Linked DNA regions of Saccharomyces cerevisiae S288C. Each later gene encodes a partner of the first gene's protein in a complex. Each region holds a gene or a part of one and is shown in the gene's direction. Other genes may lie near its edges.

What was found. The genes of interacting proteins can lie anywhere in the genome.
Region 2: RPL17A (region 1) and RPL6A share a complex: the UniProt entries of both Saccharomyces cerevisiae proteins name them as parts of the large ribosomal subunit.

Annotation. Positions count from the first base shown.
Region 1 is NC_001143.9:107,204-110,723, forward strand, and holds RPL17A (60S ribosomal protein uL22 RPL17A), read left to right. Parts: upstream 1-2,065; coding exon 2,066-2,374; intron 2,375-2,680; coding exon 2,681-2,926; downstream 2,927-3,520. Other genes in the region: ribose phosphate diphosphokinase subunit PRS1, read left to right, coding at 113-1,396; CCAAT displacement transcription factor COY1, read right to left, coding at 3,261-3,520. UniProt on the Saccharomyces cerevisiae protein: Component of the ribosome, a large ribonucleoprotein complex responsible for the synthesis of proteins in the cell.
Region 2 is NC_001145.3:122,648-125,883, reverse strand, and holds RPL6A (60S ribosomal protein eL6 RPL6A), read left to right. Parts: upstream 1-1,711; coding exon 1,712-1,726; intron 1,727-2,141; coding exon 2,142-2,657; downstream 2,658-3,236. Other genes in the region: TCB3 (Tcb3p), read left to right, coding at 1-1,154. UniProt on the Saccharomyces cerevisiae protein: Component of the ribosome, a large ribonucleoprotein complex responsible for the synthesis of proteins in the cell.

The DNA of each region.
Region 1 (3,520 bases):
AACAAGTGTCTATTCCGCACATCTCTGCAATAACCGAACCTTCACGATTTAGCTACAATCCCACATCTGCAGATTCTACCGTTTAATAGTCTTAATTTGAAGAGAAATAAAAATGCGTAAGTGTAAAATTTTTGTTGGTAACTCTCACCCAGAGTTGGGTAATATGGTTTGCCAAAGATTAGGTATCGAACCAGCTCCATGTACATTAAAAAAATTTGCAAATGGTGAAACGTCAGTTCAAATCGGTGTATCTGTTCGTGACGAAGATGTGTATGTCATTCAATCTGGTTCTCCATCCATAAATGATGACATTATGGAACTGTTGATTTTAGTTTCTGCCTGTAGGGGCGGATCTGCTAGGAAAATTACAGCAGTCATTCCTCAATTTCCTTACTCTAAACAATGTAAAATGAAGAGACACAGAGGCGCTATTACTGCAAGGATGTTGGCCAATCTGTTGGTCATGGCTGGCGCTGATCATGTTGTGTCTATGGACCTTCATGCTTCTCAAATGCAGGGGTTTTTCACCAAACCAGTCGATAACCTATACGGGGGCCCTAGTTTAGCGAAATGGATTAGAGAAAATGTTGAAGACTATGAAGATGCAGTAGTTGTCTCTAAGAATCCAGGTGGTACTAAAAGAGTTACAGCCCTGGCGGATTCTTTGAAGATCAACTTTGCTATGATCCATACTGATCGTCGTCGTTCTAAGGATCTGTATTCTCAAAACAAGGATTTGCAACAACTAAAGTTGAGAAAGCAATCAATGTTGAGGAAAAATAGACCGATCATCAGACAAGGTGACCATCCAAATGAGGAGGAAAACATTATTTTAAGTAACGGTATTCAAACTGCTAGGATCCGTAACGGCCACGTTATCGGTGACGATGAGGCAGACGATGATGAAGACGCTATCTTAGAATCTGACAGCGAATTGCATTCTATTGATGGCTTAGACTCGCATGGCTTGGGCGGTACATATGATGCTGTCGACTCCGAAGACGAAGAGGAAATCCCAGTTCTCTATAGGGAACAACTGATTACATTGGTCGGAAACGTCCGTGGTCGCTCTGCCATCATTCTAGATGATATGATTGATAGACCTGGGTCATTTATTAGCGCTGCTGAACATTTGGTGCAAAATTGTGGTGCCAAAAAGGTTTATGTTGTTGCTACTCACGGTATATTCACTGGAGACTGTTTGGAAGAACTTGAAAAGTCCGATGCCATTGACACAATTGTGGTCACAAATACATATCCGATTTCTGGCGAACGCATAGCTGGGTCCAAGAAATTGGTTACTATCGATGTTTCTCCAATTTTCGCAGAATGTATCCGTCGTGATCATTATGGTGAGAGTATTTCCGTTTTATTTGACTCTTTGGCAGCTCTGTAAACAGAAGAGAGTGTGCGCAATATTTTAGTTCTTAAATATGACATAGATTATCAAAAAACTTTGTATGTTTGCCAGATTTCAGTGAATCTGCAAGAGTATAAATTATAGGAATTTGGGTGAATTAAACCATTTATTATGTTTTATGTATCATGGAAAAAACAGAACCTTTATCAAATCATCTATGAAATTTTGACAGGTTAGCCATTTTCCTCATTTTATTGCTCTGCAATAGTAAATTATATAGATTTATGCAATGCTCTAGGTTCCGGCGGCTTTTCATTTAATGTGAACTCAAGACTATTATCATCCAAACACATTACAACATCCGTACATTTAGTTGGCTCCATTTTTTGAAAAAATACTTCCGAGTAAGATGCTGAAAGTAATCAAATTCCGTGAAAAAGGAACCGATTTGGTAAGGGCGGACCTGCCGGAAGAAAATCGCTCCCGCGTGTCTACTGGACTTTGCTTCTTTGCCAGGCGGGAGAATGAAGCCCACCGGCCTAGCTCTATGGGCGCAGACAGGGATGGTCTCGATTTGCTTTCTCACTGCAATGGAAATTTCTAACATTAGAGCTTCAACGGCTAGCATAAAACAACTACTAACGTTTTCAGTGCTATATTCGAAAGAGCAAACAAAGAGTCCTCAAGAACTACTAATAGATTAAAATGGCTAGATACGGTGCTACTTCCACTAACCCTGCTAAATCCGCTTCTGCTCGTGGTTCCTACTTGCGTGTTTCTTTCAAGAACACCAGAGAAACTGCTCAAGCTATTAACGGTTGGGAATTGACCAAGGCTCAAAAATACTTGGAACAAGTTTTGGACCACCAAAGAGCTATTCCTTTCAGAAGATTTAACTCTTCCATCGGTAGAACTGCTCAAGGTAAGGAATTTGGTGTCACCAAGGCTAGATGGCCAGCTAAGTCTGTTAAGTTCGTTCAAGGTTTGTTGCAAAACGCCGCTGCCAACGCTGAAGTATGTCAAGAATATTATATGTTTAGTACCAGATGAAACAAGAATGAGTTGAAATTCAAAATGCGCGGAAAATCCATTATGATCAAGGGAAATTGAATATGATAAATGAATTATTCAGAAAGTCACAATTACCAGATTGGAATGAACTGTCAAGCTGAAAAGCAACTAAGGATTACCATTACGTGTTTATGATTTTGTTAGAAAAATATTGAAAACTTGATATTTCTTTCCGCTAGTTTCATCTTTTTCAATTACTTAACCGGATCAAAATTTTTTTTACTAACAACATAACTATTTTTATTACAGGCTAAAGGTTTGGATGCTACTAAATTGTACGTTTCTCATATCCAAGTTAACCAAGCTCCAAAGCAAAGAAGAAGAACTTACAGAGCTCACGGTAGAATCAACAAGTACGAATCTTCTCCATCCCACATTGAATTAGTTGTCACTGAAAAGGAAGAAGCTGTCGCCAAGGCTGCTGAAAAGAAGGTCGTTAGATTGACTTCTAGACAAAGAGGTAGAATCGCCGCCCAAAAGCGTATTGCTGCTTAAATAGAAGATGAAAAATAATGATAATATAATTCTCTGTTAATTTTAATCTTTTATCTATGTAATTTTATCTCCCCGTCATATCACATAACTCTAAAATAAGTTTTTTATTAATATTATTATATTATATCGGATAATCCTACGTTCAAAGTATTGAACATAGTTTTATAATGAACAAAGGTATAAGAAATGCTCATAAACTGAAAAAATCCCGTAGATAAGATAATAAGAAATGCTACTGTCTATATCAATATGTCAATCGTTACTCATTCCCTCTCTAGTACGGAACGTGTGCGTTCTTCATACCGAGCTATTAGAATTTAGTGAATAAAGGCATCTATCGATTTATGCCATGAACTGAACCAACGCCTGCAGCTACTTTTTCTGCTCCCCCAAGTCCTCCGTTGAGATTTGAAGAAGACTTTGCCGATTGTACTATACCAACCTCAGGTGTCATGTAGCCGCTAATATTAATCACATACATGCTCATCATGAATACGAGTCCGTGTAAACCGATACAGTAAAAGAGGAATACCATCCTTGTCATTTTATTTTGTAAAATGACTTTTGCAAAACTGGAAAATAACTTCTCTAAAG
Region 2 (3,236 bases), on another chromosome or scaffold:
TTGTCAATGATAAAAAAGTTTTCAAATCGAACATTAAAAAGAAAACATTGGATCCCGTATGGAACGAAGATGCTAAAATACCAATCCTTTCAAGAAGTAAGAATCAAGTCATATTTAATGTTCTTGATTGGGATCGTGCAGGTGATAATGACGACTTAGGCCAAGCTTCACTTGACGTTTCCTCATTAGAAGTTGGTAAAACTTACAACTGGAATTTGAATTTAAACACACAAGGAAGTATCAAATTACAAGGTTCATTCAACCCAGAATATATCAAGCCAAGTTTTGATATCGTGAAAGGCGGTATCACTGATAAGCCGATGAAAATAGCCAGTGGTGCAGCCCATGCAACTGTTGGCATAGCTGGTACTGGTATAGGAGCAGCAACAGGAGTTGCCACTGGTGGTTTAAAGAAAGGTGGTCACCTTCTAAAATCTCTAGGTGGCAATCCAATGAAAAGAAGCAAGAGCAGCAATGGAAATGAGTCCAACGGTGCAAAAAAATCATCAGAGAAAAAATCTTTTGATAGGAGATCCCCAAGTAATTTGAATAGCACTAGTGTAACACCAAGAGCTTCACTAGACTATGATCCATCAGTACCTAACACAAGTTACGCGCCCGTTCAAAGCGCATCTCCTGTAGTCAAGCCAACTGACAACACTTCTAGCTCAAGCAACAAAAAAGATACCCCTAGTAGCAACTCTAGAGGACATTCTCGTGCAAGCAGTTTTGCGCGTACTTTAGCTCCTCATGGCACTTACAATGGTTTTATTACCGTGGTTGCTGCGGAAAACGTTGCCAAGCATGTTCAAATTAAGATCTCTTTAACTCAAGGTGGTAGACTAAAACACATATACAAAACGAAAAGCCAAAAAGCCAATAATGATGGTGTTGCCGTATTTGATGAAGAGTGCTCGTTCAAGGCTTCTCCCGAAGCCAATTTGGTACTGGGTGCAATTTCCCATCAAAGACTATCGAGGGACAAAGATCTTGGTATTGCTCAAATCAACTTGGGTGACCCTCAAATTCAACAAGATGGCCAAATTTCTGTAAAATTAGGAGACGGTCATCTGATTGTAAAGATTAATTACGGTAAAGACAAGAATGGTCAGGTACCTCCCGTGCCAGAAGTTCCTCAAGAATACACGCAGTAATAAACAGTGAAAACTATTCTTTTATACGCTCAATAAGGGCACATTTGGTGTGTTAACAGGTGTCTTTTCTGTGTTTGTTATAATTTTGCGCTATTATTATATAACGTTATATTTACTATAATATATTACAACATATATTACAACATATTTCAACGCTCTCCTGTTACTGCTTAGGGAGAAGAAAGAAATGTGAAGACTGCTATTAAATCCGTACATTATTAAAATGTATGGATTTGTTATATTTTTCTTCAGTTTTTTCCTTAACCAGATTCGAAAAGCGGCCCGCCTAGACCATTGCGGTTGCGGCTAAAGCGTTCTGGAGAGGGCTTCTCCGCTGGGCGGACAACAGAAGCGAGAGACACGTTTCCCGTCTGGGAGGACTCACCGGATTTGTCCAGTTTCCCACTGGAGTGTGCTTTGTTCCTTTTGCAAAATTTCGTTGGTATGGAGGTTATCGAATGGAAGGGTTACATGAATAGATTAAATGTACTACTCATTAAAGATTGAATATCAGTTTTACATTAGGCGAAACAACAAAGTAATAGCCATCCAACGAAATGAGTGCCCAAAAAGTATGTTCCTACATGTTAATTTCGAGGGGGAGATGTCAATTTACATTCACGAAGGCATAAGTTTTGAAATTTGATATGATGCCATCAATCTCAGACATATCCATACAAGAAACAATAAGATCAGGACGTCGAACAAAATAATACAATGAAAACTGATAAATGACGTTATACAGTGTACAGTGAGGATAAATGATTAAGGCAGTATACCTTTCAACACAATGTTAATACTATGAGTGAGAAGGTGAGCAAAGCAATAAGGTATATCGACCCTAGCTCATGATTATTTAGTTTCCAAACAAAGGCCCACGTTACAGTTTCAAATCGCTAGGCATAATCTCTCCCTATAAAAATTTATCACCATTCGCAAATCAAGAATACTAACATTAGTCGTTTGATATTTCTTTTTTCCATTTAGGCTCCAAAGTGGTATCCATCCGAAGACGTCGCTGCTCTAAAGAAGACCAGAAAGGCTGCTCGCCCACAAAAGTTGCGTGCCTCTCTAGTTCCAGGTACCGTCTTGATCTTACTAGCTGGTCGTTTCAGAGGTAAGAGAGTTGTTTACTTGAAGCATCTAGAAGACAACACTTTGTTGATTTCTGGTCCATTCAAGGTCAATGGTGTTCCTTTGAGAAGAGTCAATGCTCGTTACGTCATTGCTACCTCTACTAAGGTTTCTGTCGAAGGTGTCAACGTTGAAAAATTCAATGTCGAATACTTTGCTAAGGAAAAATTGACTAAGAAGGAAAAGAAGGAAGCTAACTTGTTCCCAGAACAACAAAACAAGGAAATCAAGGCTGAACGTGTTGAAGACCAAAAGGTTGTCGACAAGGCTTTGATTGCTGAAATCAAGAAGACTCCATTATTGAAGCAATACTTGTCTGCTTCTTTCTCTTTGAAGAACGGTGACAAGCCACACATGTTGAAATTTTAAATATAATTATTTTAACGAACTTCTATAATAATATATATGCAGGTAAAATTATAATTTAACTACAGTTTCATAAGTGCATTTGTATTGAGCATTGGTTTTTTATTCGCATATTTATATCTTCATTGCGGCAATCACCCAGAGAAAGGGCGTGAAAAGAAAAAGGAATACATTATTTCAAGTTCCTTTGATCTTTCCTATAATGTAGACTTTCTTGGCGCAAGACTTGGATGCATCATACAAAATACAAATTGTTAAGCAAAAAAGTGTCGCTCTGCTGTAAGCTTTGTGATGTTATATTTGATCGTATGGTGAGGAAAAACAATACACCTCATGTTATATAATGATCGTTGTTTTAGGTGAGATGTGGAAATAGAAGAGAGATTTTTAAACAAAAAGTAAATGGTTTTAAACGTTGGCAATAACAAGGCCTGCTCACAGCAAATAAAACGGGAATAGAACAGGAACGGGAATAGAACAAAGATAAGAAAATTGAAAGTAGAAAAGACAAATAGTGAGAAACAAAATGCAAGAGAAAATGCATCGCTTGAGCCCAATGTTCCTACCAATATTAAGGGGATT